Linked DNA regions of Alligator mississippiensis. The protein of the gene in region 4 interacts with the protein of the main gene of each other region in a pairwise test. Links are inferred from orthologs where the notes say so. Each region holds a gene or a part of one and is shown on either strand. Other genes may lie near its edges. The genes, in order: TEX11, SKIL, USP2 and NEFL.

Region 1 (7,848 bases), on a different chromosome or scaffold from region 4:
GGTGCCCACACCCCCCGGCCTTGGCAGTCCCTGCCCTGTGGGGACAAAGGGCCTCCTATGCTCCAGCGCGTTGTATGCGGGCGAGCCGTGTCTGAATGGCAGCCCTGGAGACGGGCGTCTCTGGGCACAGAACATCCCCCGGCAGCGCCAGGCTCTGAGACAGCTCCGTCTGCGCTGGCTGGGGTGTCTTTTCCCTCATTAGTGTTTATTGTTTTATTCCTTCCTCTTTGGATCCTCCAGTGGTTGTGAGGCCCCTTTCTCTCATCCTGCTTTTCTCTAGCTTAGCATGACTACAGGCTAGCACTAGAAGTACCAGCACCAGCTACCAGGCAGACAACACAGGTGTGCCCGGCTCCGGGAGCTCTTCTGAGAGATGCAGGTCCTTCCCCCGGCACTGAGCTGGCCCCCGCCTCTGCTTGGAGAAGAGATCTCCCACAGCACAGTGGAGCAACGTGGGAAGAACAATGCGTGTTACGTAGTTCTGTCCCAGCTGATTCACTCCTCCTCCCAGACACTCCCTCAGCCCAGTCTATTTTTTGCCTTCACCCAGCTGCACCTTCCCAGGCACTTACTCCTCTGCAGTCTGCCCTGACCAGGCTGGACAGACCGGTCCCCTTCCCCACAAGACAACCACACACTTGTTCTTACTGCGCATTCCTGCCTGCCCTGCCCTGCAGCCAGCGTTTGGGCCCCGGACGGCCTGGTGCTGAGGGCAGCATCCTCGAGTCTGCATCTTTGCTCCCTGCCTCTTACCTGTTGCATCTGACCAGGGCACAAAGCCCAGGTCACGCTGGCAGGAAGAGCTGGATGGAGGCAGCAGCCTGAGCTTCTCCACAAGTGGACTGAGCCATCTTAAGAATTCAATGTGAAACCCCTTCGAGTCAGGGCTTTGTGGCGACTTGAGCTATAAGCATAGCCTTGTCCAAATGCCTGGTCTGTACCAGCTGCAGCCAGAAGCAGGCTTGGTTCCCATTGGAGCCCAGAGACCCCCTTGAGACAGAGAGCTGCTCCCAGGTAAGTGGGGGATTTCTTTAAACGAGTTCAGTTACATCCCACCCTTTCCCAAAGGCTCAGCACGGCCTACAGCAAACAAGCCACAGAGGATCCTCTGGCACTTGAGGGCTCTGCAGAGCTGTGGCTGCACTGCACAGAGCAGAAGTTGCTGGTGTTTGCATGATCCCAAGCCAGCTCTGAGCAAGGGCGTGATGTACGCAGCTGCGGGGTTCTGCTCTGGCTTGGTGCAACACAGGAGGGGCATATAGCACCCCAGACCCCAGGTACAGGTCCGCTCAGCTGTGCTGTCTTTGAGGGGGAAGCAGTTCTTACAGGAGTCTCCTACCATTAGCTAAGTTGAATTTGGGCAGCCTTGCAAAGGGGCTTGGGGATGAGTGCCGGGCTTACTTTTCTAAGTTCTTGGGCTGACCTTAAAGCACAGGCTGGGCCCTCATGTAGCTGTATGCACCACAGAGGACCCGACACTGCTTGGAGGCAGGGCAGGGCCATTAAGAATAGTGACCTCTGGCTAGTTCCCCAGGCCAAGGGGAAGGCAGATAATGGTGAATTACCCAGCAGTGACCCGTTATCAGTTGATAACTGGGAATGGGCAAGCAGTGGGAAGTAAAGGAACCATGGTGAATTAAGTCACAGTAGTAAGTTATCCACACTCACCTGGATGGGAGCACGGGAGCACTAGTTTGCTGATTTCCATCTTGTTTCAACCAGGAATAAACACGAGAAGAAAAGTGACACCCACACCAAGGGGAAGCTCAGACAAATGCAGGCATCCATCCCTTAGCATGCAGGATGTGCCCCCCAGGCCCGTCACAGGTAAACAGCACCAGAGCACAGACTGCAGAGACAGGATTATACGTTTATTTAAAAAACCCAAAAGACACTTAACAAAAACCACACAGTAACTGGGAGACTGTGCCCCACCTAGGCAGTGCCAAGGGCACGGCGAGGACAGGGACTCTGCAGGTCTGACTGAGCCCAGGGATAGAAGTGCAGGCACCACTTGCACTGGCCAGTACAGTCTGATTATGCTTCTCCAACCCAAGCCAGCAACAGTGCTTTAAAACAGCAGGAGACAATGTAAACGGTAGACTTGAAACTCCTGCCTGTGCCTGGGCAGGTGAGACAGCTTTGATGGCTGATGAGTTCTCAAAGCTTGAACTTGAGGGAAACAACAGTGGCTGGAAGAACAGCTTGGAGGCAGCCAGCTGTGCCAGAGAGAGCAAGAGGAGTGAGTTGCTGCCAGGGTCTGGGTGCCATGCTGCACTTGTCCTTAAAGAGAATCCTGCAGAGCTGGCCACGCTGTTCCCTTGCTGCCCTGCATTAGCAGGGAACAGCCTCTCTATCCCAAAGGGAAGGGGAATGAGCAAATGTAGACAGCCAGTCTAAGGAGGATCACTTCGTCCTGGAACCTGGACCTTGCTCCCCATCCCAGTCCAAAGGGCAAGGACAGGGCTATCTATGGAGGACCAGTGCCCTTCTCTGTGCTAGGACAAATGAGGCACTTAGTAGATCATAGTCTGCTGATTCGCCTTTTGCATCTGGATGATCTTGCCAAAGCCACCTCTCCCCACGTCATAATCCGTCCGGTACTCATCTCGCACCTGGGGGCAGAGCAAGAGGAGGCATTAACACCCTCCACCTACTTACATGTCACAACGCTTTTAGGAGCCAGCTTCCTCTCCACCTCACCCCAGCAGTTGGTGGGCTGAAAGCCAGGGTGCAAGTTCATGTTTTTCAACTCGCTTGATAACACCCCATCACAACAGGGACAGGACAAGTGTGGGGCTGTTTTGAATGTCAAAGCAATACAAAACAGTCCAAACACTGTTCAGTTTGGCTTTGCAGTCTGGCTTGACGGATTGTCAAGGTTGAACCCTCTGAAATCTGGGAATGAATCTCATCTTCCCACTGGCGCATCCCGTCTGACAAGACTGCCCTTGCAACCACACAACAAAAACACGGGGCTGGCAAGACCTTCAGGGGGTCACATCTAGGGCAAGCCCCTTGCTTGAGGTAGAGTCATCTGTGTCAACCATCCCAGACTAGCACTTGTCTTTCCCGAGCACCGTTTCTTCCTCCCTGCTTGTTTCCTCCATCAATCTGACAGCATCTCATTGACAGCAGAGCAACATTCACTTTGCGCCCTCAGGAGCCGGGAACCCAGCTCTTCAGCAGCAGCAACTGTCAATCACTTACTCCAGTCCAGCATCAGGTACTAAACCAGTTTGACCGGCTTTAGTTCAGTTATTGGGTCTACGCTGCATTACTCTTGCTTTGTGTTGGCTCAGTCACGGTGAGCAGCACCCAGCTGAGCCCCGGGGAGCCATGTTCTAGACTGACGTTGGTCTGTTGCTTACCTGTCCTCCCGTCTTTCCTCTCCCGTACTGCCGGCCCTCCTTAAACCCTGCGTCCCAGTCTGTCCGGATAATGCGGTCATCCAGACGGGTGCCATTAATAAATCTCATTGCATGTTCAGCTTCCACTCTTGTGTAATATCTGGAATAACTTATAAGGAAAATACAAGGTGCTGTTCTGCTGGGTAGGGAGGTAGAAAGAGAGAGTAATTTTATATGGCATGGAGGAACCCTGACTTTCAACTCAAGACCCAAACGCTAACTGGCTCCAGTCCCCTCCCAGCGCAGCGCGAGGCCGCGCTCGTGCGTCTCAGCTCTGGCACAGCGAAAGCAACAGCGAGGGGTCCCTCGCTTCAGGGAGAGGCCGGGCGCTGCCCCCAGGGCGCTACACGTGCCCCTTTCCGGGACAGCGCGTGCTGAATTTGTACGCAGGACTTCAAGCTGCATCAGCCCCGCTTCGAGCCTCGTTTGTAGGAGACGCCTCGTTTAGCTGCCCGTGCGCGGCCGCTGAAGATGCTACTGCGCGGGTCGGTCGGTGATCGCACGCACTGCGATGCGCGCCGTGCATGGGCACCGCCACGACAGCCGCCCACCGGGCCGGCACAGCGCGGGGGACACCCCCGCCCGGAGCAACGCACCGACCGCACGGTCCCTCCGCCGGCCAGACACCACGCGCGCCAGCACGAGCAGCGGTCCCACCCGGCCTGGCCCCGTCCCACACGCGGAAAGGGCTGAGACCCGGCGAGGGGCAGCAAAGAAGCCCCTGGAAGAGGGCACCGCGCCGCGCAGGCAGCGGCTGCAGGATACTCCACGAAGCAGAAGCCGCACGGCGTCTTCTTGATCTTGTCCAGACCCATGACGATGCGCTTGACGTCGCCGCACTTGGAGAAGAGCTCCTGGATCTGCTCCTCCGTGGTGTAGAAGGACAGGTTCCCCACGTACAGCGTCGACGACGCCTTCAGCGACTTCTCCTGCAGGTACCGGCTCCCCTGGGGGCACAGCGGGCGTCAGCGCGGGGGGGCCGGCTACCCCCATCCCCTCCCCCACAGCCCGCCGCACCCCAACCCCCTCCCCAGCCCTGCCCCACGTCCCCCGGCGCACCCGGAAGTGCTGGTCGCGGTACTGGCTGATGTCGCAGTAGGAGTCGCTGCTGAGGCCGCCCAGCGAGGTGCCCAGCAGCCCCGACATGGCGCCGCAGCACGCGCCGGCTCCTCCCGCCCTTCTAGCCCCGGCGCAGCGCCGCCGGAACCGCCCCTCCCCCGCTCGCCCGCGCGCCCACCCCATTGGGCCCAGCGCCCGCCACTCCGCAAGGAGAGGCGGGGCGGCGCCCCCATTGGAGGAGGGCCCTGCCCGCCAGCCAATCGCCGCGTGGGGCTGGCCTCCGCCGCGCCGGAAGTGCGCGTGCGCGGCCGCGGGGGGCGCTGGGAGCTGTAGTTTCGCGCCAGGCGCGAAAGCCAGGCGCGTGTCCCGGCATACCTCGCGCGCCCAGGCGCTGAGGTGCGAGGAGCGGGGTGTGAGGCGCAGGCGCTGCCTCGTGCTTGGGGCAGGCCCGAGCAGCCTGGCGCTGCGGCATGGCGGGCGCCCCCAGCCTCCCCGCCCTGCAAGGTAGCGCCTCCCTCCCCTGCCCGCCGAGGGTTTGCAGCCTGGTGTGGCGGGGTGAGGGGCCCTGCTTGCTGGGGGCGGCCTGGTTCACTGCAGGCCCTGCGCACCCCGCTTCTCCACCTCACCCCCCTTCGCCAGCCTCCGTCTCCCAGTGCAATGCAGTGCAGCGCCGCCCGGCTTCCCGCCTCCGAGAAGAGCAAGAGCTCCCCCGAGAAACCCTCCCGCGCCGTCTCTGCTCCCACGGCGCTCCGGTGCCACCGCAGCGCCGTGCTGCAGGACAGCCTCGAGTTCGAGACGAGCGCCCGGGAGAGTCGCCCGGGAGACGAGCAATGGGGCGCTCGTTACAGCCGATACGAAAAGCTGTGTCTGGTGTAGACGGGAGGCCGGCAGGGTTTTCCAGTGTCACAGTGGCGTGCGTCTGCCTCCCTGGCGTCGGGGCTGCGTGCTGCGCCGGGCGCGGTGGCGTCCCGAGAGCAGGCTCTGACAGAGCCGGCAGCCTCCTGGGCAGACACGCAGCACGTCCGGGGGTGCAGCGGCGACTGCCGGGCAGTCTGGCTGTTCAGTGGTGCCGAGCTGCTTTGCCTTGGAGCCGGGCCGCCAGGAACAGGCTGAGTCGTCAGGGGAGATGTGCCGTGAAGCGGGACGCCTCCGGCTGCCGGGGCCCCGCCCCGGGTGAAATACTTCTGGCCCTAAACCAAAAGCTTAGCGACCAGTGCGTAACGTTCGACGTGAAGGCCGTGTCTCGCCCTGTACCCGGTTGAGCTGAGCGCACGGCTGCAGAGGAAATAGCAACCTGTATTTGTTTTAGTTTTGGAGTCTAAAATAGGTACTTGATAACTTGTTCCCGATCAAGGAAAAGGGCACGCTCTGTTACGTAACTTACAATTAAAAGTAATGCGTGATTAGTTCTGGCGTGCTAGGATTACAGGAAAGGAAATGTGGTCGACAGATTCATTTTTGTTAGGACAATATGTAATAAGGTAACTTGTGAAACTCGCAGTGGCTGCAGAGCCTTGTGTGTTCCTGAGTTCATCAGTTAAGAGACTTGGACAAAACTTGTTTTGCCTTTTCACGTTATTGTTTTTGATGTCTTTGGAAGTTAAAACTATTCTCTCTTGCCAGAGATTACAGGGAGCTTTCCGTCGACTTGAGTAAAACAAACATTATAGTGACTGGGGCAGAGGTGCGGGAGGGATTCGTTTTGCTCCTGGACCAGAGTCAGGGTTTTTGTTAGCAAGGTACTGGGCTCTCATGTCTGTACCGTGTAGTGCTGCTACTGGCTGCCCAACTGGGGGTAGATATTTAAGCTAGCACGTGAAAAACTATGGAATTGGAGACAAGGGAGGGCAAAAAGGTTTTATATGGTTTTATTTGGTCCCCTAAACTGCTCTGAGGAGTAGTTTCCAGCTGCCGTTGTAAGGGATTTACCCACTAAAGCAACCTCATTCCTTCCACATTCTGAGAGTGGTTAAGAGAGCACCTGATCAAGTCCGACTTTTTCCTTTTAAGCCAAGGGCAGGGATTTAAAGATTTAGCAGTTTTCTCTCTTTTTATAAAGATGCATGGGGGTTTTAGGATTCTAGAATCGGTGGTGGCAGGTTGTTCTATGATCCTCAAAGGAAGCGCTGGCGTTGGCTTACCAGTATCAAAGATCCTGAATACAGGTTGTGTACATTATACTTTCAGAGGGCCCAAGAATAAAAGTTGTTTAGGAGGGAACAAAAGACTTGGGGGAAGCAGACATTTTATTCACAGATAAGATGTGCCACATTCTGCACTCTTTACTTATGTTTAGTTCCTTTGACAAATGTAGATTTCACTGCCGCAGTTTAGCAGAATATAGCCTTATGCCTTAACTAAAATAAATTTTCTTTAGAATAGAGTTGTTTCTCAGGAGTTACTTTGTTCAGCTTCTCTTGGTCTCCTTGTTTGTGCTTTTTTATTAGCCAGGAAAATATGAAGAAAATGTAAACCAATGGGTTTTGCTTGTACAGACTTGTTCAGAGATGATGTGCTACTCATAACATTTGTATGGTGCTCACTCCGTTTCTGCCTCATGCACCTTATTTTTCAGAGCTTGTTCAAGAGCTGCTGAAGAGAGACGCCCCATCCAACGTTCCTGAGATCATTGACAAACTATTCTCTGAAATAGAAAATGTGGATAAGAAGGCAGAGGACGAGATTCAGGAGGCTGAGGTAGAAGGCCAGGGACTGTTGGATCCCAAAGCTGGATATTTAAAAACAGTCTGTTCTTACAGCCAAGGTGGAGGCAAGCAGTATCTACTGCAGTTTGAATGCTCATTGGCTGGTGCAGATAATGAGTTGTCATAGTACTGAGAATCTATAAAAGCACTTACATTTTTGCATGTTTTACTTATGTTTTGTATAACTATAGAGCATACACTATAACATTTCTACTTCTCCATTAGCACATTTGAAGAAAGTAGAGGTGTTTCTAAAAAAAAAAAAATGTAAATATTAGAATAGTAAACATTAGCAACTGGCAAGTGGGGGATTCCACCTGTCCTTCAAAATGATATGTATTAATGTTTTTGAATTCTGAGGCAAAATATCCTTATTTAAATGTCAACACTACTGACATGAATGAGATGCTGTGACTTTTTACTTTTGAATCTAACAATGCAAAAAGACTAAAAAAAGCACAATAGTAAAATAAATGTAGAAAAGAATAATGAAGATGTTAAAATTGTAAATACAAACACTCCAAAATCGCAATATAAAAACACTGAAGTTTTCTTAGTAAAAATCTTTCCCGTGCTTCACATTGATTAGTGATTACTAGTCATAATTTTAAATGTCCACCTAAATGATAAACTGTAGATGCATTGTAAATGAGTTAATACTTTTGGAGTCTTGG
Region 2 (7,353 bases), about 52 Mb from region 4:
TCAATGGTTACCCACTCCCTGAAGCCTCCAAAGCATGGCTGCAAACACTCCTCCCCACTTAATGCAATAGCTGTATGCAAAAGTGAACAGGAAAATTCTTCCAAACAACAAAAAGAACCCCAAGAGGAATGGAAACATTCCAAAAACTCAAAGTTTAAGCTCTTCTCAGAAAAATTATTAATAATCTACAAACACAACTACCACAGCAATGCCTCAAATCAGTAACACATTAGTTACCCTCTATTTTCCAAATCCTTCCTCATAACCTCTTTTTCAAGCATTTCTCATTCTTCTTTTATAAACAGTTAACATTTATCTTATATTTATTTGTCTTATTTAGATTATGATATCACTGTAGTAGAACTAACTTCACGCTTGTGAAATACTGTGTAGACTTACAGTGTTACTGAAATAGGCAGTCTCTCTCATTGGTGTGTCAAGGTGCATTGCACAGTAATATGAGAAAGGCCTTAAAAGCAATTCAAGTAATATCTTATACATTACATGTTTAACATAAAAAAAAGATATTACCACGTTCTAAAAGCAGCCTTTGGCCTCTCACCAGCATCAATGCACTATCACCTTAAAAATCATGACACGCTATTGGGTGCTTAGCAAGATAACTGGCTGTATACCATGTGTACATATACGCACAGGAATTTAAGTCCGTGTCTGTCAGTTTAAGCTAGCACTTGATTTTTCAGGCAGCTTCCTGCTTATTGCAACATGCTTGGTATAAAACAATCACACAATGTGTAGGTCAAACAGGAGGACAGACTGTCCATGAAACCTCTACATTTTCCAGATATTGCCAGTTTAAAAAAGCAAAAGAAACAGAATGAAATGCAAAAACCTAGAACTCTTGGTTCAGAAATGATACCTTTTATTATCCTAGTTGGTCTAATAAAAGGTATCATTTCTGAACCAGGAGTTCTAAAGCTTTTGCATTTCTTTTAGTCTCAGACCAACATGACTATCAAAAACATCCAAAGAAACAGAACTACGTTCTGAAAGTTTTTGACCAGTTTATGACAAAAGCTCCAATTAGAAAAGAATTCTTAATACTAAGCCTTTTACATTGAAATTGTTGAGACTGTATTATGTATGCTGCAGATCATTCACACACCTAGCTTATACTTGATCTGACACTGGCTCGTATTTAGGAAAATGAACAGCATGCTTCAAAAGTATTCATCTGTTAACAGCAAGTAATCCAAAAGTTTTATCAGATTAAACTGGACTTACTTTGGACTGAGTTCTTTTCTGATTTTTCACGCTAAATTTCTCCTTCATTTCCTCCAAGAGATGCTTCAGCTCCCTCTCTTCTGATGTTCCTAAATATTTTTGGTTAATGTGAAGATAGTAATGCCATTTGGCTGATTCAAAACCCCAGTGGCAGGTCCTTTTATCAGGAGATCTATGTGAATGCATCACAAATGTCTGTGGAGAAAACATTCCATAACACTCCAAACACTGGATACAGGCAGCATCTGGCTGAAGATAGAACTGAGGTGCAAACAAACCCTGGCACTTGCCCAAGCATTCATGCTCTACTTCAAAGGCACTGCCAGTTTCTTTAAGTTGAGCCAACGTGTTTTTAGCAGGAAGCAGACTGCCATTTTGAGGAAAAGTGCGAGGACGTAGTAAAGCATTGCATAATCTTTGCGCATCAGTCAGCGTGATCAACCCGCAGGATGGGGCATTAAATGGAAGGATCCCCAATACCTTTAGGATATGAAGCTGATCAGAAGTGCATCTTGAACAGTATATGTACAATTCATCACAAACTGCATTAATTTGTTGGAGGGAAAAGTCTCGGAGCACAGAATTCAAGACTTGAGGTAGGCAGAGTCTCTTTTCTCCACCAACTTTAAAACAGGAAATAGATTCCCCCTCCAGCGTAGTCTGAGTGAGCTCCGTGGAACTATCTGAAGGGACGAGCAAGGGGCCAGGAAGTATCTGCGGCGATGGAAGAGGCAAGAAAACGGTGGGAGACATGCTTTCCTCAGAATAGCGAGCGGAAAAAGCGGCTGGTCCACCCAGCGAACTCTGGCTACTTAAGTGGAACTGTGCCAAGGTGTGTTTCAAACCAGGGTTTAAACTCAGGCGCTCAGATACAGCAGCGCTGTCTGACTTGACATTTTCTCTATCCACCTCCATGGGAGTTTCATCATATTCATCCAAGTTTTCCTTCTTGATGGTGGGCATCTTACTCACCCCAGTTGGGAACTCAGTATTTCCATGCATTTCTGTCATTGCTTTCTTTACCGGAGGGCTCCCATCCTCCCGCATCCTATTCACTTTCTGGTCGGAGCCAGGGCGCAGGGGGAAGTTTGCCTGCGGGCCTTCCATCGCCGACCGCCACGCGTTTACAGAAAGAAACCGTGAGGGCGCATCTCTCTAGCTTCTCTGTCAAACAAATGTCAGTTGTGGCTTATCTGAACTCCCTCAGACACGCAATCAATGCCACGCCAGGCCAGGCCAGGCCAGGACAGCGCTATGCCGGGGCCTCCGGGAGGGCAGCCGAGTGGGAAGGGACGGTGTTACAAAGCCCTGCTGGGCTCTTAGGCAGCGCAGACAGCAGGGCACGTTTCCTGCCCGCAGACCGCTGGCTTCTCCATCAGGCACCAACTCATCTGGGAGGCGGGGGGAAAAATAAGGAGAAAGGGAAAAGTCGGTCTCCCAGCAGGCTGCCAAGACCCGGCCCTGCTGCCCCCTCAGCCTGGCGGCCCGTTTGCCCCCATCCTCCCCGAGGGGGGGAGGGAGGGCCGGAACCTCCACAGGCCGCGGGACACCCCCTCCCCTCCCCCCGGGACACCCGCCCCGCCCCCACCCGCAGAACGCGCCCCTCCCCCCGCGCCGCCGCCCGGCCCCTCCCCCACGCCACCACATCCCCTCCCCCACGCGGGCGGGCGCCCACGACCCCCGGGCCCTACCTCTCCGTTGTGCGGGCTCGGCTCCGCTGCCTCCGGAGCCGCGCGGGGGCCTCCCTCCCTCCCTCGGCAGTGTCGCTCTCGCTCGCCCGCGCGCGCCGCCGCCTCCCCGTGACCTCACTGCGGAGACGCAGACAGCGGCGGCGGCGCGCGGCCACGAACCCGCCGGGTGCGCGCTCCCGCCCCGCCCCCCGTCTGCGGCGCCCCTCCCCCCACGGGCCCCCGCCCCCCTCAGGACAGGACGGGACGTGCCCACGCCCACGCGCGGCGTGGCCTGGCCTGGCCTGGCCCGGCTCGGCCCCGCCTCGCCTCACCTCGCCTCACCCGGCCCGGTCGGGCCAGCGCGGGGATTCCCTGTGGCGGCGGCCGGGCGCAGACGGGGCGGAGCCGGCAGTGACTCAGCCGGGCGCCGGGAGCCCTTCCGCGGGGGCCGCTGCCCCAGGGAAACCCCGGGCCCGGCGCCGCGGGGGCTTCCGGCCTCCTGCACGCGGCCCAGCTGCTCGGCCGGGGCCGGAGGAGCCCGGGGAGCTCAGAGCAGTGACCGTGCAGTTGCCATTTCCCCGCTCTGCCGTGCCCGGGCTCCCACGTGTTTAAAGCCCTGCGGCAGAGAGAAGGGAGCCGGTTGTGTGGGCCCCCCCCGGGTCCCTCTTCCCCTGGTCGGGTGCAGGGAGCCCTGCCCCTCGCTCGGTGTCCGGTCCCCGGTGAATCCGTGGCTGCCCCCACGCCCGGCTCCACCAGGGCCTGCTCTGACGAAAAGAAACGTCCCTGGCTTGGTTGAAACCCGTGTCTATCGCCCTTGGGGGGGGGTCACCACAGACTACGCCTAAGGGGGCTGTGAAAGGCGAGGGTGATCAATCAAAAGTGTGCAAATACCCACGCTTGCCATTCAGGGGGGCCATGCTGCTGCTCAAAATATTTTGAGGGGCCCACAAATGAAAGAAGGTTGAAAACGGCCATTTTCAACGTCTTGGGGATTCATTTTATTGTGTGTCCCCTCTTTCTCCTACTGCGAGAGACTGTAAATTGACTTCACTGTTTAGTATTTCGTAAATTCTGATCACGGCCTGTAGTTTCTAAAGTGAAAAGGCCTGGTCTCTTTAGTCTCCCTCCTACGGTAGCCCCTCCATGCTGCTAATCATCCTCGTTGCCCTTCTTTGGACCTTGTCGAGTCCTTCTATATCCTTTTTAAGAACTGGGCACAGTATTCAAGGTGTGGACGCACCATAGATTTATAAATGGGCATGCTCATATGTTTTGTTTTGTTTGTGATTCCCTTCTTAATGAGCCCTAACATTTTGTTTGCCTTTTTGAGGGCTGCTGAGCTCAGCTGATGTTTTTAGCAACCTGTCCACAATGATTCCCAGATCTCTTTCCTGTGTGGTAGAAGCTAATGTCAAGCCCATCACTGTATAAGTATAGTTAGGGTTATTTTTACCCAGGTACATCATTTTACACTTAATTATACTGAATTTCACCTGCTATTTGGTTGCTCATTCACTCAGCCATGGCAGATCCTTCTGTAGTTCCACATACTCCACTTTGGCCTTTATCTTGAGTCTACAAAGGTTGAGAACCTGGGTCTAAACATACCAAACAGGCACGGGGCAGGGAAGGAGTATGAGAGAGAAAAAATGAGCCATGTGATGGTAGCAAGAATCAGGATCCTTTCATTTATTTCTGGGATGTCTTTACTTACAGGGAGGCTTTACTTAGTCGGGTAGAAACTAAGGGCAGGGGAAAGGAGAAGAGCAGAATTGGAGTGAAGGTGAAGGGAGAACTGGAGCAAACATAATCAGCACAGGGCAGAGAACATCCTTTCTAAACCCCCTGCGATTCTCTGCCTCTTCAAGGTCCAGCAGACAATGTGGTGGGAAATTGTGAGGGTGCCTGTAACAGGGTATTCCTGCTCCTGTCACTAGAAAGGCCTGAGAGAATGAGGGACCCTGGGCCAAGAAGGACAGTAAGGAGCAACAACCCAGGTGGACTGGGCCCAGGACTGATAAGGCCAGGTGGCTCATGAAGGGATTAGCTGTACCTGGTGCAGAAGGCCCTGTCCAGTACCTGAAAAGAGACTGGGCTGGGGAGTATTAGTCCAGTCTGACAACATAAGGGAAGCTTCTGCCTGCAATAGGGAGAAGCTCTTTGGAGTGGGCAGCTATTAGAGGCTGGCCACCCAGGGGAAGTGGAGGAGTCTCTTGCAAGAGTTAGGGCCTACAGGCAACATTTATCCTGAGAAGGAAACTATTTGGGTTATGAAGCAGCTGTCTCATGTTTTTGTTGTTTGTACTGCAGGACTGAGTTGTGGCTACAGGGAGTGGAGGAGGCCATGAACAGGGATGCCTGGGTGGCATTCCCCTGCTACTTGCCCTAAGAGCTGGCCCTGAGCTAAACAAGTGGAGGCTGGTGCTGAGATTTTCAACTGCCAAGGTAGGGCTCCCTAGGAGGGCTGATAACTGGCAGTTGAGATCTTAAATGGTAGACCAAGGCTGGGCATGTAGCCAGAGAAAAAGGGGACCATGATTATGACAGCAGAGGGTCTGACAAGTCCTCAGAAGCCTTGGAAATGCTCCCTTAAAAGGGAACCTTGTCTGCCCTTAAAAGGGAAACACTTGAAGGGGAGTACAGGCTCAATGGGGCAACTAGCAGTTACCCCTGATACCAGGGACTGCCTCTCTCAGCTACAACCAAGTAGCATCAAAGGTGTGGCAGGAGAAAAACCAGAGGTGAAGTGGGGCTGGGAGTAGAGGAAAGTCTGGTGTTGGGGTACCAGTACCCAGAAGGGTGTTATAATGCCCCAAAACTCATTTCACTAATTTACCTTGCAGTTTTCAGGCTGTACCTACCAATGGAAGGAAGTTCAAAAAGTGAACAAAAATTAATCACGAAGGGGAAGAAGGAGCAAAATATGGTTAGTTAGTTGTTTTATTCAGTCAATGTACTATAGCTCATTTAATTAGGGTGGTACAATACTTTGTTTTTCTCAGCTGCAGGACAGAAGATGTCTTGCCCCCACTCTATCAAGACCCTTCACAGTTTATACCCACTGTACCAATTCATTTTATTTCAGGCATTGTCACTCTTCCCCCACCCCCACTTTACTCATCCAATGGTGCTAGGATTTTGGCCCTGTCCCCTTTCTTTGTACTTTTGGCTATATTGTCTGTTATGGGCTGTCCACTAGGAGTGGACTGAGAAACAGGTAAAGAACTAAGCTATTGCAACTTTAAATTTGTTTCATTCAAGATTATAGCACTATAGAAGCAGGTAGTTTAAACTACAACAACTACATATTCAGGTGACACCTAGTCTGCCGCAGTAAGTCTACCTTCTTAAAATGGTTTAGTTAATATTCCATCTTAAGACTGTGGACAGATGTCAAAAGCAAATTAACTAAAGATAAGACATCAAGTGCATATGAATTAAAAGTGCTTTAAACCTCTCTATGAACTGACTGCCCAGAGGAGTTTTCCATCTATTGACCTCTCTGTGAAATCCTATGAAATATGAACTTTCATTTCTACCCAGGAGAACTTTAACAATCTTTTCTCCAATGCCTGACGAAGGGTGTTTGTACCCAAAAGCAGGCAATTAAAGATTTTTATTTTTTTTTGCAAAACATCTTGTTGGTCTAATAAAAGATATCATCTCTACTATGAGTCCTGATTATCTTTTCCTCAAGACTAATGCGGCTACAAAAATCTGGATACTTTAAACCTCTCTGTGTATACTCTTATTCAGAGACAAAGGGTCTACAGCAAATAAAGGTCAGTTTATTCTGGACTGCAGAGCTGTCCCCAGACAAAATAGATTTTTGCCTCCATATTTCCATAATTAACCATGCCAACTAATTGGAAGCTGATCATCACTAATCAGTGCTAGAAATGCTGCCATTTCCATGCTGCTGCCCTGGACAAGTGCCTGGTTTGTCCATAGGAGGTGCAGGGCAGACTCGAACAAGATTATCCACAAATTAGTTCAATGTTTTTTAACTTATACACGTTGACTGCACACTTTAATTGGTCTGTCTTAACTTTCTTCAGGCATTGCTTATTGACATAACACTCCTTGAATAAACCTATAAAGCTACTGCTTGATTCTTCTTAAATCCTTTCTTAAAGTTTTAATCTATCATGTTGCCTAGCCCTAGAGCACTGCAAGCTGATGATAATTAAGCAGGTGGTGAGCTGGGACTATTGCACAGGATAAGATTTATTTTTAGAATAATAACAAAAAAAACAAACAAACCTCCTCTTGGTATCTATAAATTCTACACACCGCTTGCCTATACAAAAATGTGTTCTTTCTGCTATCACCCTTTTGCTCTCATACACCCTCCACCCCCACCCAGTCTTGTTTTATTCTATCCAGTTTTTGTATCTGATCTTAAACTTAAATTGTTGCATCACTGGTATAGGCTATT
Region 3 (7,256 bases), on a different chromosome or scaffold from region 4:
GAAGGCCCGAAAGCCCTGCCCATCATGCAGCCACATGGAGAATGAGTTTGTACAGTCTCAGCCCAGGTGCCAGAGTGTGGAGCATGACCTCAGAAGTTCCCCTCCCCACAGCCTGACCGGCACGTGCAGCAGAGACCGGGAGCTGGACCCCCTCGTGCCCCACTGTGGTCAGAGGAAGACAACAGAGCGAAGGACTGGACCTGGGAGTGCAGGGGGGCAGAGAGAAGGAAGGGTGATGGGAAACCATGGGAAGACTAAGGATCAGGGCCACAGCGAGGCCCTGCCACCTGCTCCCAGCCACGCTACACCTGATCTGCCCAGGGACGCTGCTGCCCCATCAATAATTCAGCCCCGCAAGCGCGCTTCCGGCTGGAGCATGCTACTGTGATGCCCACGGGATGCCCTGTTGGAGCGGCTGAGCATGGGAATGCCCCCTCCCCTGCCGGCCTCGGGACCTTGGTATTCCAGAAGCAGAGGCCGGGGCTATTCAGGAGCTGCCAGCTCTGCTCCAGGCTGCTGCAAGAAAGGGCTGGGGGTGGGGGAAGACCTGACCCAATTCAAGAGCTCTGGGATGGGAGGGGGGAAGGGTGTTACTGGGCTAGACTGGGGGCCAACCAGAGGCAGCACAGGAGAGCAAAGACGCCAGGCCAAGACTCCTGGTGCCAGCCTCACCTCTGGGCACCTATGGGATGGATGTGGGGGGGGGGGAGATGCCCCTGGGGGGCATCACACCCATGGCTGGAAGTGCCCACTACAGGCAGTCAGTCAAGTTTGGACCCAGGGTGGGGTAAGTGCCATGCCCAAGGCCAGCCAATGAGTCAGTAGCAGAGCTAGCAACAGCACCGAGGAGTTTGGAGTCCTACTGGTGTCCGTAGCCCTGGGCAGTGCCCTGAAGGCAGAAGCACTACTGCATGCCAGAGGGGGTGCCCAGGGCACCCCCTTGGCCAGCTCCCCACCCCCTGCCCCCGCCGCAACAGAGCCTGGTGGGTCACAAGCACTGCTCTCAAGAGCACCCCCCCCCACTCCCACTTCCCAACAGACCCCAGGTGAGATGCAGGGGGGCGCACCTGGGCACCCGCTGGGCTGCAACTGGGAGGAAAGTTTGTTGCTGGTGCAGCTCCATGCGGAGGGGCAGCCGCTGGCATGGGGCAGGGTCAGGGCTCCCAGGCCTGGGCTCTGGCTGGTCCCCAAGGGACCTAGGGACATTACCTGGTGCCGGGGAAGCCCCTGGACAGTCCTGTGGGCCCGCCGCTCGCTTCCCCACACTTTCAGGACAGCGGCTCGCATGGCTCCGAGAGTCTCCGGTCACCAAGGCAACGACCCTGATTCAAAACCCTTCCCCGGCATGGCTGGGCGGGATTTCGGCACGCTTGGCCGGGTGCCAGGGCGGGGCTGGCACACACTCGCTGGCTGGAGCGGCTGTGCGGCGCGCTGCCTGCCGCTGGCACAGGGGCCACGGTCGAGGGCAGGCTGACCCACACCCGCCGTGCCTCACTGCTGGGGATCTCCAAGCATCTGCTACGCCACCCATCCCCGGAGCCTTGCTGACCCACATGCCACGGTGCCGGTGACACAGCCACAAGCCCCAGGGCAGTGAGGTCAGCAGCTGGGGACACATAGCAAGGCCCTGACGGAGCAGGCAGAGATGTGCAGGGGCCTCGGCTGCAGTATGCAGAGCCAGGGGGAGCTCCAGAGGTCCTGAGCCCCAACCCCCTGCAGCCACGCCGGCCGGGGAGCACCGGGTTTGGCCTCCGCCTGCTCTCCCAGGCAGCCCGAGTCCTGCCCCACAGTCCAAGGATGCCGGGTCCACCTGGGTCCGGCTCAGCCACCCAGAGTTGTCAGCACTAGCAGCACTAGCAGCCCAGGCCCCTGTCTGTGCCCTAATGATGCCCCCCAGCAGGGGCCGAGGCCCCCCAGGCGCAGGGGCTCGGGTCATGGGGGCCGTGCATGGCCCTCGGGCCCCATCGCGGTGCAGGAGCTTTGGATTTTCCACTGGCAGGCGGGCGGGTGAAAGCGATCCACGTGAAATCGGAAGCCGCTGGAGGGAGGTCACGGGTCCCGGGGAGGCTATGCTAACCACGCTCGTGCCTCGGCTGCTCAGGCCCAGGACAGCAGTGTCTCAGCCCCTGCCCACGCCCCAGGGATTTTCTGTCTGGGCCTCTGGGCTGCGCCAGCATCGGGCTGGGATCCCGTCCTCTCGAGGAAACAATCATCCCTGAGTGGGTCGGGAACGCTGAGCCGGCAAAGCCAGCCCGAGCACACAGACCTGTTTGGGGAGGAGGCCGCTGGGGTGAATAATCCACCTGGGGCGAGGCTGCTCCCTCCCTCCATCAGCAGGAGCTGATGCCCCAGCCCCGCTGCCCTTGGCATGGCAGGGGCTTGGTTTGTAGGCAAGTAGGAGCCGCGTTGAAGGGTGGCACGACCCAACGGGTACTGGGTGTATGGGGACTGCTCACGGGGCACAGGCCACGCAGCTCCCGGCCCCTTTCAGCAGCAGGTGAGCTCAGCACAGACACCCTCTGGGCTGCCCCGGAGCCTAGCCCAGAGCAGGCTCCCTGGTGCCAGGGCAGCTGCAGGGCCCAGTCCTGGCACAGACCAGCCCCAGTTCAGTGCCCACCCCATAGCCCCACTTCTCCGAGTCCCTCTTCCCCCCACACAGTGCCCGTCTTGCAACAGGGCCCCTTCTCTCATGAGCCACACGCAGGGCTGGACTCTCCCCCTGATGACCGTGTCCCCCCGCTGACGCAGAAAGCACCTCTCCTGACAGCCCCCCAGCCAGGACCGAGGCAGCCACCTCTGGGGTGAAACAAGCAGCTGTGGAAATTCATTTCCAAGAAACATAATATGAGCTCAAAGCTATGGGGGACGGGGGAGGTATCAGCCAGAACATGTTGCAAGACCACAGAGGCCAAGCCCCAGCGTCAGGCTACATCTGAGGACATCGATCATGTGCCAGTGCCCTGTCCCCAGGCACTCCTGTGCCTCTGCCCCGTGTCGGGAGGGCCCCTCACCGCTTACCATCTAAGATCGCCACTTTTGTGCCAGCTGCCTGCTCCGCGGAGCGTCCCGGGCTGTGTCACACCATCCTGGGCCCCAGGACTGCAAGAGACCAGACACCTGTCCTGAGACCTCGAGGTGGGAGGATCCCGACCAGCCCAGCTTCTCTCTGGAATAATTCTCGGTGCTTTTATAGCACCTGGGACTTCAAAGGCCGCAGCAGGCCCCAGTGACTCAGGCAGGCCTCCACCCTCCCTGGGAGGCTGCCGCTCTGTCATTAGTCCCATTGTGCAGATGGAGAAGCTGAGGCACAGACACATCCGGTCCACAGTCATGTGGCGAGGGAGAGGCGAGCCTGGGAATGGGACCCAGGAGTCTTGGCTCTCAGCCCTCACCACTAGACTGCCCCGTTCCCTCTTGAGTAGTCTGGAGCTGAAGCTTCAAGGCAGGAAAGTGTGCCAAGGCCTGGCAGCCCAGAGATGCCTTCTGTGAGACAGGCAGGGGCTTGGCTCCACCTCTGGGTGAGGAGAGAGGCCTGGTCCCCTCAGACAACCCCCAAGTGCTCCAGGAGGTTGCAGAGCTGGCCTGGAGGTGCTGGGCTGCACACGAGGGCGGTCACTGAGCCGGTTGGCTGGGCATGACGGAGGGGACCCTGTGCCTTCCCAAACCTGCTGGCAATAGTGCCTGGGCCACGGTGCCAGAGCTCTGTCCCCACCCCGGTAACCTTGCCGGGGGATGCTGCTCTGCTCCCTGCACCGACACTGTCCCCATGGACTTGGCTTACCCAGCCCCAGTGCTTGCTTGCGCGCTAGAGCCATCACGGCACAGGCATTTCTTGCTTACCCAGGTGCTAAAGCGGAGTCAAAGCCTCAGAGACACAATGTCCCAGCCTGGAGGTTACCCTAGATCTCAACAAGCCGTACCCAGCACCACGGGGCATCCGCTGCCTCCCGGGGCAGGGTCACCTCCGACCAGCGGACGGCTGCTGGGGGCTGGGATGAGAGGGGGCCCGGCGAAGCTCTTAGCAGGGTGGGACACCAAATTGAACCCCTCATGGACCCACTCCACCCAGGCCTCCAGGCTCGGGGAGAGGGAATGCCCCTCTCCGAGGGTCGCGAGGGGAAGGGCCTGTTTGCTGCCGGGCCGCGAGGTCTGTTATGCCAGGAATTCCTTGCAGCCCGTGGGGTTATCTGGGGGCTGGGAGCTGCCTGCACGTTTCCCTTGCACGAGAAGCTCCATGGCCCAGGGGACGCTGCCTATCAGCGGATCAGCCAGGCACCTTAACTCCTCCGGGGCTCAGTGCAAATCACCTGCTGGCCCTGCTGGCATGACTGGGGGGTGGGCACAGACTGCACGTGGTCTGTGTTGTGGGGCCAGATCCACAACTATCTTCTGGAGCTGGAGCCAGGAGACACAGGATGAGCTCCTGCCCTGGAGCCCCAGCTCTGCTCCCTGCGTGCAAGGTGCCCAAATCCCCATGGCTCCCCTCTTGGGTGGCAATGGGCCTTCTCCCACCCACACGTATCACAGAGCTGGCCAAGGCCCCAGCTTTCAAAGCCCTTCTCTGCTCTATTTAGCAGCACTTCCAGGGGCGGCTTTCCGGTCTGTCCCCTGGGTCCCAAGCCGAGACCTACCAACTCAGGTCACCTGCTGCCTAGCAGCAATCAGAGGGCACCAACCTCCGCTGCTGAAAGTCCAAGCTGGCTCTCAATGCCCGACGCAGCCAGCCCCCTGCCCAAGCTCTCCACAGCCCGGTCAAACCCACTGCGTGGCATGGACTGACACCCAATGGCCAAGGGGGACTTGGTGGGACTGGACGACAAGCAGGCCAGTTTTGTGCCCAGCGGGCTGTGTAGGCGAGTGGAGGATGCTTGGTTTTGGGTCGAACGACAAAGAACAAGCAAAGGATGGGTGCCAGGAGCTGCTGCCATGTCCTCCCCGGGCTGCTCAGCATCTTCCTTTCCAGGCAGCAGTGAACTTGGCTAAGTCTTCCCTGAACTTTCTCTGCCTCTCGGGGCCCCAGAATTAGTCCCGTAAGCCCCGAGCGGGCCCGTACGCACCTGCGTGTGGACGAGCAGGGCCGGAGGGTCACGGTTTGTCATGGGGCGACACCGGAGCAGCCGGGACGGGGTCACGTCGGGATCAGTGAGGTGCTGGCTCTGGCGCGCAAGCAGAAACCCGATGGCTACTAACCTGTTTGCGGGACAGGACGGGATGTCTGCGCAGACGGCTCTGCTGGGGACCAGGCTGGAATGGGCCGAGGGCTGAGCCGCTGCGTGAGCCGCTGAAGAAATTCTCAGCTCAGGTTACCGGCTAGATAAATATAGTGTCTTATCTGACCTCACTGGGCGCTGGAGCACGCCTCTGGCATGCCAGCCCGGGGAGCTTAAAGGGGCAGCACAGTGCACACCGGGCCCAATCCAGCGGGGCCCTGCACCCACAGAAAGAGGGCACTGCCACAGAGGGTGGGGGGCACGGGTAACCAGAGGCACCGGGGGCTGGAGGCAGGGGAGACCAAGGTTTGGAGGGCCTGGAGGGAGGTGTAAGGCAGCGAGGAGGGCTGGGGCGATGTTCTGGGGACAGGGCAATGGGACGGAGCCGGGACAGGCAGCAGGGCCTCTGGGCGCTGAAGCAGCCAGGCAACAGATGCAGGGTCTGAGTCACCGGATGGCAGGCTGCTCCGATCCTGATCCAGCACCTGCTGAGAGCAGGGGAAGGCCTGCCCCATCCCCCAGGCCACGGGGACCCGGTGCCCCTGGGACCTTCCTGCACCAGGGCGATGAGCATGGGACGGGACCCTACAAGGAGAGGCAGGGATTTGTCTGGGACACAGGGCAGGGCTGACTGGGATGGTGCAAACAGACAGGTTGGGGGGAGAGGTCACAGGGCACTTAGGCATCTGTCCCCTGCAGCAACCAGGTCCTCACAAGCGAGACAGGGCAGGCCCTTCTCAGCCGGCTTTGCCTGGTGGGTCTGTGGCAACGGGCCGGTCACCCCTGGGGCTCTGTGGGCTGGGGCATACCGGGGCCGTAGGAGGAGCCCCGTGCACAGACCCAGAGCAACATGGATCGGGCGGGACGCCACCCGCTGAGGGCTGGTCCCCAGGGCTGACGTGGGGCGCTGGCGGGCAGTGACTCAGTCTGCGCACACTGGGATAATTAGGCAGGATGCAATTAACCCGGCATTTCCCTCCCTTCTGCGTTACGGGCCAGGAATGGGGCAGGCGGCAATGGGAAAGCGCCCGGGACAGCCTCAGCCCTGGCCTCCACCCCCAGGAGGGTGACGCCAGGGGTCCAGCTGCTCCCCGCTCCGCCCTGCTGCAGGGAGGGGCCTGCAGCCTGGCATGACCCCTGCCCCTTGGGCATTGAGGTCACAACCTCCACGTGCAGCACGGCGTGGCACATGTGCCGCTGTGATGTGCCACAACCTCATGTGCACGTGCTGTGTGAGGGGCCATGTGCCCTCCTCTACCTGGCATGGGTTGGCTTGGCCCATGCACTCCCTGGCCCGCACAAAGCTGGGGGCAAACCCCAGTGGGCACCAGCCGGGGAGGGGGGGCGCAGTTCCCCCAGCCTGGGGGGCACTGCCATGGAGCAGGCAGGTGGGCATCGCCCCGCTCCCTAGGCCCGGAGGAGGCGGCTGCGATGCACTCACTTGGCTCCGGGCGCAGCAGCCAGCACCGGTGTCTAGGCGGAGCTGCCCGGGCCGCGATGTCACAATGGAGCCCGGTCCCCCCTCCCTGGCCTGGGCTGGGCTGGGCCAGGCCGGGCATCCCTGGGCACCCGCAAGGAAGACAGGGCAGGCTCGGGCATCCAGTGGGTTTATTCTGTGGCAGAGCAGGCACTGCCCCGCCGGGTCGAGCTGCAGCAAGCCGGGGACACAACGACAGCGGGCACGGATCACGGATCGGGGCCGGGCTGCGCCCCCCTCGCTGGCGCAGGGGGAGAGGGTGGGGGCCAAGGCTGCCCCGGTGCAGCCTCTCTTGCATCTTCTCGGGGGCCTCCCCTGGCCCCCATTGGCCTGGGGGCCCCAAAGCAGAGGGGAGGTGCAAAGGGGCTGCCAGCCCCAGGGAGCAGAAATTGCTGGGGGAGGAAGACTGGAGCCCTGACCTGGAGGAAGACTGGGCTGGAGCAAAACAGCTGGAAGCACGGAGGGAGGAGCGCTGGCATCGAGGGGTCCCACCCCCCCGGCCTCTGTCCTGAGGGAGACAGCAGCCAGCAGTGACGGGATGGCCAGAGATGCAGCTGCTGGACCCCAAA
Region 4 (7,586 bases):
TCCTTCAAAATTGATCTGCCCATCCTTTCTTCTGCAAGAAATAGAAGTGAATATCAATTGAAAAGCAAGTGAAAGGTCACAGAAAGAGGAGGTTACAGAGTCAGTAGAGAATAATCATTTTAATAATGACAAAATCATCCTCGGGTTACAGAAAATGCAGGAAAAATGTAAAAGTGCAGTGGAGGGCTGGGCGAATCGAAGTAGGCATATCAGATCCTTCTCTTGTAAAGTGTCAGTGCTACATCTACATCCTTGCAAGCACGACTTGGAACTTGACTGAGGCCCACTGACTTCAAAGATGTAAGTGCCAGGGTCTGGCACAGCTGGGGGTTATGTTGCGATTTTGAATCCAGACATGACCAATAGTGTCTGAAAGATGTTAACATCTGATCATCTGTTCACCAGATTCACAAATTTACCACAGTACACTCTATTCAGTTTTCTTGCAAGCAATTCATCAGTGAGGTGACAAACTGAGTGAGACAGGGAGGTTAATGTACCCTCTCAGACATAGAGATGGCCCCTCTAGTTCAAATGGGTAATTGCCTGAATAATGGGGAGGGGTGGGGATGTCAGCTCCAGGGGCATAGGGATGAATCAGGCCCTTCAATTCTTTCTCTGGATTCTTTCTCTGTGTTGGATGGATCTGAGAAACCCATGGTTATTTACAATATCAAGAGATCAGCCTCAGCTTTTTGCTTCAGCAGATAGAAATGGAACTAATACTAAACTGCTAGGTGACACATCACATCTTTATTGACTGTATTCTTATTTCTTTCAAGAGCATCTGGAAAATGCACACAGCCTTTCAAGAGAGGTGGAATGAGCAATTGCATAATAATTGGAAACCAATTTTTCTTTCTTCCTCTGTTTACTACCAACAAAACACCAATATTTTGGGTCTACAGCAAAACACCAATGCCCATGCACATTTATATATGTATTCCCTATCATAGGGAAAAAAGAAAACTAGTATAAAGTAAAAGTTAGGTGCAAAAATCTAGATGAGTACTGTCTTATTAAGGGAAATAGTTATGGCTTTTCAGGGCACCTGCCTTGAATAATAGCTTTTATTTGCCCTATTTTCTTCCCAGCTAACAATTCCCCATTCTCGCCACTGACCTGCAAAGAAGTCCAACATTACTGTCTGCCCCCAAAAGCTTCAGCACATGTTACACTGTCATCTGTCTCCCTGACACCAGTTTTATGTGGAAAAGGAATTTCCACTCCTTTGACCATTTCCATGAAAATATCAGAAAGAATGTATAGAGTTCCAGATTTGTAACACCATGCACAGAAGCTAGAGATTGTTACTGTTACAGCACCTATTATTTCTTAGTTTGAAACAGGTCATTTTTAAAATAATTCATAGAATAATAAAAATGATGGTTAATCATAAACTCCAGGATCTGAGTTGGATTGTGTGTCAATGAGTGCAGAGCCAGGAAAAGCAATGGATCTCTGCAAATTTATATTAGTTGAGGGTCTGGTCTGAAATAACTTGTATTTTAAGGGCCTGATTGACAGGCTACTGCAGTCAGCAGGAACCTTTCAGTTAGCTTTAATGGAATTTAAAACATGCCTATATAGCCGCTCTTCTCCCAAAGTGCTTTGCAGACTACAAAAGCCACATACATAGGAATCACATCAATATTTGATGAAGTGCATCCGTCTCCACTGCATATATTTCAGAATTAGCAAGCAACCTGCAACCTAGATTATATTGTTATTCACACTGCATGCCTATTGCATGAGTTAATTCTGAAGTTTTCAGTCCTTTCCTGGTAGAAAGGACAAAACACTCTTAATTAAAACTAAAATGTTGAGGGTTCATGAAATGTCATTCTCAGCTTGTGTGAGCTGGTATAGCTCCCCTAAAGCCAATGGAGCTATGCAGACTGACACCAGAAGAGCAACTTGTCTTTTGTTCACTGCACAGGAGCCATTTTCATTCTGTTTCTCTGGTATCAGTAACATATTTCACCACAATAGTAAAAAAAATGCTGACAGCCCACTGTATGCAAAGTAGCTGCAGTCGCAGACTTTTCACTGACCTTGCATCATGGCCGACAGTGGAATTTCATTATACAGCATATGAATAATTTGTAGCTATTGCCCATCCCCAGATTGGGTTTGATGACTGAATGGAGTGGATATTTATTTTTAAGATGTGAATTTTAAATTTTAAAAAATGTCTCCATGTTTATACTGAATGTAAATTCAGATTACTTTTACTGAATTCAGTGAGATCACTTCAGTTAATTAGCACTTCAGCACTTTTGAAGGAGATACTAACCCTCTGCATAGGAATGCACTGCACCAAAAATGGATTAAAGTAAAAAAAAACCCCAATTATATATATATATATATATATATATATATATATATATATATATATATATATGTGTGTGTGTGTGTGTGTGTGTGTGTGTGTGTGATTCCCTTCCCTTTCATGTTCAAATACCTTGAATCCTATGCAAGCAACAGTGTGAATTAGGCAATTTCCTTTTTGTGTGACCACACTAAGCATCTGGAGATCTAATAAAAACAGTTGCATGTCATTCTTATTGGAACAAAACCTACATGAAGCAAGAATTTTGTGTCAGTCGTTTGTGTAGCCACTACTTAAGTACTACTGTGACTGGCACTAGATAGACAGAGAGAGAGAGAGAGAGAGAGAGAGAGAGAGAGATGTTGTAAGTGTTAGACCAACATGGACAGTTCTTTTCTCTTTCTTTGTGAAGCATTTGAGCATTTGCAATTTCAGCCATTAATAAATGTGCCCCAAAATCTAGTCTTTTTTTGTAGTCCTTACTCAGACTAAACTCTCCTGAACAGCTTCTTTTGGTAGTAAGTAACATCTTCTGACCCAATCAGATATCATACATATGAAACTCAGTTGCTTAGTAAAAAGTGACTAGAACATAACTACTGCTTGGCTGCACTTGCCCAATAGCAAATCTTCCAAACATTTGGGAAGCGGTGTGTGTCATTGCAAAGGAACTGTCCATGGTCCTTTCCCCTTTTCCTCCCGCTGCTCTTTGCTGTGCTCCTTGCAGCTTGATGGTACAAGTCTGAATTGCCAGATTCATTTACCACTGATCTGAGTCTCAAACAGGTTGACTCCTAGTGAATGTTGCCCTGTATAACATCATAGGGATAGAGATAGATTGGAAGATGTGTGTTTGTGTGTTCGCCTGTGACAAGCAACACCCACCCAACCCATGTGTATATTTTGAATCCCTGTAAGTGGCTGGCTCAGAAAAGGTTTTAACAACCCCTTTTTTTTGCCTGCAAGAAAAACCTTTGCAAGCTGTGCATCGATGGCCAATGATGGGAATCAATTGCTTTGTACCTGTGTGAGTGGAAAGCTGCTGTGGGTACATCAAGGGCTCGGTAAGCAACTGTTCACCAGGGCACCTGAGGGAAAACTAGGAGTAATGGTCACAAACTCCTAGAAGATCGATTCAGGCTCAACATTAGGAAAAAACTTCTTCACAGTTAGGGTGTCCAGACTGTGGAATAAGCTCCCTCCAGAGGTGGTGCAATCACCTACCCTGGAAATCTTCAAGAGGAGACTGGACAGTCACCTTGCTGGGGTCACCTGACCCCCAGTTATCTTTCCTGCTAGGTGCAGGGGGCTGGACCCGATGATCTTACAAGGTCTCTTCTGGCCATACAATCTCTGAATCTATGAAGCGGGGCCTACGTTGCTTTGAGATGGAGAGGGTCTGTGACAAGCTAGAGGAGAGGCATGCAAGGCAGGGAAGACAAAATGGTAAGCAGCATGCCAGTGCAACTTGTACTGTGCAATTTGCCAGAGGGTCGCACGTCGGACAACTCAGTCACTCTGCAGCACCCCTCAATGCACCCAAGGCGCACTCCCCATGGCCTCCTGAGACCGATGCCTGCCGATGACTACAGGGGCAAAAACCTGGCATGTCAAGCCAGAGTTGAAGTGTAGTGTGCTTAGTGAAGTGAGGAATGCAAGGTGAGCAATCAGCCTGGCAGTCGCACCCAGTCAGGGGCTTTCAAGAGGGCGCCTGAAGCCTGCAGGGGACGGGGCCCTGCCTCCCCCAGGCTCCTCTGGAAGCGCCGGGGCTCAGACAGGCGGGCTTGGCTGCGAGTGGGGGGCGCACAGGGGCAGGCGGGGAGGCGCTGGGGCTCCGGGAGGAGGTGGGGAGCTGCTGGGGATCCGGGAGGAGGCGGGGAGGCACTGGGGATCCGGGAGGAGGCGGGGAGGCGCAGGGGCTCCGGGAGCAGGCAGGGGAGGAGGCGGGGAGGTTGCGGGGAGGCGCAGGGGCTCCGGGAGCAGGCAGGGGAGGAGGCGGAGAGGCGCAGGGGCTCCGGGAGCAGGCGGCGCCCTCGCTCGCTCGCCCCCCCGGCTGCTGGCAGGTGTCGGCGGCTGCGTGGAAGGCGGCGCGGCGGGGGATAAATAGGGGCGGGCGGGCCGAGGCTCGCCGCAGAGCTGCCGCGCGCCTCCTCCAGCATGAGCTCCTTCGGCTACGAGACCTTCTTCCCGTCCTACAAGCGGCGCTACGCCGAGAGCCCGCGCCTGCACCTGTCCGGCGGGCGCAGCACGGGCGGCGGCGGCTATGGCGCGGTGCGCTCCAGCTACTCCAGCCTCTCGGCGCCCGCGTCCTCCGTGTCCGTGTCCGTGCGGCGCAGCTACGCCGCCTCGTCCGCCTCGGCGGTGGAGAGCCTGGACCTGAGCCAGGTGGCGGCCATCAGCAACGACCTCAAGTCCATCCGCAGCCAGGAGAAGGCGCAGCTGCAGGACCTCAACGACCGCTTCGCTAGCTTCATCGAGCGGGTGCACGAGCTGGAGCAGCAGAACAAGGTGCTGGAGGCGGAGCTGCTGGTGCTGCGGCAGAAGCATGCCGAGCCCTCGCGCTTCCGCGCGCTGTACGAGCAGGAGATCCGCGACCTGCGCCTGGCCGCCGAGGAGGCGACGAGCGAGAAGCAGGCGCTGCAGGGCGAGCGCGACGGGCTGGAGGACACGCTGCGCGGGCTGCAGGCGCGCTACGAGGAGGAGGTGCTGAGCCGCGAGGACGCGGAGGGCCGGCTGCTGGAGGTGCGCAAGAGCGCGGACGAGGCGGCGCTGGCGCGGGCCGAGCTGGAGAAGCGCATCGACAGCCTGCTGGACGAGCTGGCCTTCCTCAAGAAGGTGCACGAGGAGGAGCTGGCCGAGCTGCAGGCGCAGATCCAGTACGCGCACCTCTCGGTGGAGATGGACGTGGCGGCCAAGCCCGACCTGTCGGCGGCGCTGCGCGACATCCGCGCGCAGTACGAGAAGCTGGCGGCCCGCAACATGCAGAACGCGGAGGAGTGGTTCCGCAGCCGCTTCACCGTGCTCAGCGAGAGCGCCGCCAAGAACACGGACGCCGTGCGCGCCGCCAAGGACGAGGTGTCCGAGAGCCGCCGCCTGCTCAAGGCCAAGACGCTGGAGATCGAGGCCACGCGCGGCATGAACGAGGCGCTGGAGAAGCAGCTGCAGGAGCTGGAGGACAAGCAGAACGCCGACATCTCCGCCCTGCAGGTGCGTGAGGGGCGCCTTCCCTCTCCCCAGCCGCCCCGCCGCCCCCGGAGGGTTGTTGGGGACTCCTTAGAGCCACTTCCTTGCAAAAACTTCACCCCCCCCCCCAAAAAAAAAATTGGGGCCCTCTGGCAGTCACCCAGTTTGCCCTCCTCAGTACTCCCCAAACTTTTCCTCAGCATGGCCCCTGCGACCCCATCTGCCCCCATCTGCCACCCCGTTTGCACCCACCACGGGGGTTCCCCTTGGCTGCGGCTGTGCTTGCGTGAGCAGGATTGGCGCGCTCAAGCAGCTGCCCCTCAAGCTCAGTCCAGCTCCCTCAGTCCGCAGTCCTGCCTGAGCCAGCCACTGAGATCTCCAGCTGCACACGTGCGCGCTGCTCTGTGTCAGGCTGGCCAGGTTGCATGGGCAGGCTGCTCTCTCTTTCCCTTCAGAGGTGGGGAATAGCACAAGTGGAAGGGTAACAAGGCACTTTTCTCTCAAGTCTGGACAGGAGCAGTTACATCCAGCCTTCTGAGCTGGCCCTGGCAGGAAACCTCTCCCCGTATCTTCCTAGGCCCCCTCTACATTACAGGTATTGTGTTAAGACCAGATGGTTACCTTGAGACCAGCTACACCAGGCAAAGTACTCATCTCGCACCATAAAAAGCTCCCACCAGCTCTGAGGTTAGACCTGGAAAATGTGTACTAATTTTAGAGCTGGTTGTTATCTTGCACCTGTAGCTGAGTCTGCAGTCAGAGAGATGTGGGGCTGCAAGGGCTGTTCAGAGTTCATTTTGTCCAACCCCCTGCCTGAGCCAGGATCATATCTGTCCAGCTCATCCTATACACAATCTAACCTCTTAGCCAAATAACAGTCAGCCCTGACACAACATAGACCTAGCATCCTAACCTGCCACAGGAGAAGCAGGGGAACCACTGCAGCCAACTTCTGTGAAATATTGTCAGTAGATGCTCAAGAGATCCCAGGTTCTGAGATCAGGGGCTTTTTAGACAGCCACCCCACCACCCTCTTGCCCCAGGCAGAGCTGTCCGTGAAGCCTCTGCACAAAGGCAGGGAGTGGCTAATGACCTCTGTGTCCTCCACTTCAAAAGCAACAGGTTTAAAATGTGAATGGGGAAATTGAAAGGAAAAGTGGGGACCTGAATATAAAAGAAAAAGAAGTGTTGAAAGCCTGGCGGTGTTGAAAGCCTGCACCCAAATGGCAGTGCAGACAGTCCTGCTCTGCAAAGGCAAAGTGTCCCTGCAGCTTGTGTGTGCAGCCATACTGAAGGGAGTCATTAGGGAGTCATTGCATTAGGGAGCCTGCCCCATGCAGCTTCACCTGCTGGAAAGCTTAGCAATTAAGATGGCACCATTAATGACAATGATTTTTAGCAGTCCTAAGAACCTGAATAAAATTAAATGAGCTGCCCTTGAGGGAAAAAGCATGTTTAATACAGGACTAATTACATAGAGTTAAATATTATTGCATCTGTTAAGACATGTTCTCTAGTTGTCTTGATGAACAGGAGGCTATAGGTATATTAATATGAAAAAAATGCATTGGGTTTTATTATTAATTAATATCATATTATAACTAATAAAAGCTGAAAAGGTGATGTTAGATCTAATGTTTCTTAGGTTATATTAATTACTTAAAAGGATTGGATTTAATAAAATAATGCCTGAAGACACAAACTGGGTAAAGAGAATAAAGGATTACAAATTAAGGGAGCGTCTGTTAAAAGAATACATAAATCTCCACAGATCTCTTCTGTCTATGTGCCAGTTCTTGTGGCACTTAAGTAAAACTCCTGGGTGAAGTTCATCAAGAGTTTGCCTCGGTAAGCAGTGTAGAATGTGGTAAAATATCAGTAAAGTGAAATATCATGAAGTTAATTTTTCCTTCCCCCACCCCCCCAGCCCACGAACTACAATATCAACAACTGATTCATCTCAAATCACAAAGAATCCAATATATCTATAATGTAAAGTGATGGAAATGAAGTAGATAACATTCGCAAATGCAGAAACTAGGTACAAAATCTAATGGTCTAGCTCATGTAC

The links.
Region 1: the proteins of NEFL (region 4) and TEX11 interact in a two-hybrid assay, tested with the Homo sapiens proteins (2 studies listed by BioGRID and IntAct). The two-hybrid records come from large-scale screens. The link is inferred for Alligator mississippiensis from reciprocal best matches to the Homo sapiens genes NEFL and TEX11.
Region 2: the proteins of NEFL (region 4) and SKIL interact in binary tests that used the Homo sapiens proteins (3 or more experiments, as listed by UniProt). The link is inferred for Alligator mississippiensis from reciprocal best matches to the Homo sapiens genes NEFL and SKIL.
Region 3: the proteins of NEFL (region 4) and USP2 interact in binary tests that used the Homo sapiens proteins (3 or more experiments, as listed by UniProt). The two-hybrid records come from large-scale screens. The link is inferred for Alligator mississippiensis from reciprocal best matches to the Homo sapiens genes NEFL and USP2.

Annotation. Positions count from the first base shown.
Region 1 is NC_081831.1:83,090,490-83,098,337, reverse strand, and holds the start of TEX11 (testis-expressed protein 11), read left to right. Parts: upstream 1-4,829; 5' UTR 4,830-4,939; coding exon 4,940-4,973; intron 4,974-7,044; coding exon 7,045-7,166; intron 7,167-7,848. Other genes in the region: nuclear cap-binding protein subunit 2, read right to left, coding at 2,517-2,615, 3,372-3,510, 4,176-4,357, 4,470-4,556. UniProt on the Homo sapiens protein: Regulator of crossing-over during meiosis. Involved in initiation and/or maintenance of chromosome synapsis and formation of crossovers.
Region 2 is NC_081830.1:74,864,395-74,871,747, reverse strand, and holds the start of SKIL (ski-like protein), read right to left. Parts: upstream 3,085-7,353; 5' UTR 2,937-3,084; intron 2,637-2,936; 5' UTR 2,353-2,636; coding exon 1,246-2,352; intron 1-1,245. UniProt on the Homo sapiens protein: May have regulatory role in cell division or differentiation in response to extracellular signals.
Region 3 is NC_081839.1:31,067,357-31,074,612, reverse strand, and holds the start of USP2 (ubiquitin carboxyl-terminal hydrolase 2), read right to left. Parts: upstream 3,103-7,256; 5' UTR 3,019-3,102; intron 1,295-3,018; exon of another isoform or gene 1,210-1,294; intron 1-1,209. UniProt on the Homo sapiens protein: Hydrolase that deubiquitinates polyubiquitinated target proteins such as MDM2, MDM4 and CCND1. Isoform 1 and isoform 4 possess both ubiquitin-specific peptidase and isopeptidase activities.
Region 4 is NC_081830.1:22,883,660-22,891,245, reverse strand, and holds the start of NEFL (neurofilament light polypeptide), read left to right. Parts: upstream 1-4,461; 5' UTR 4,462-4,489; coding exon 4,490-5,539; intron 5,540-7,586. UniProt on the Homo sapiens protein: Neurofilaments usually contain three intermediate filament proteins: NEFL, NEFM, and NEFH which are involved in the maintenance of neuronal caliber.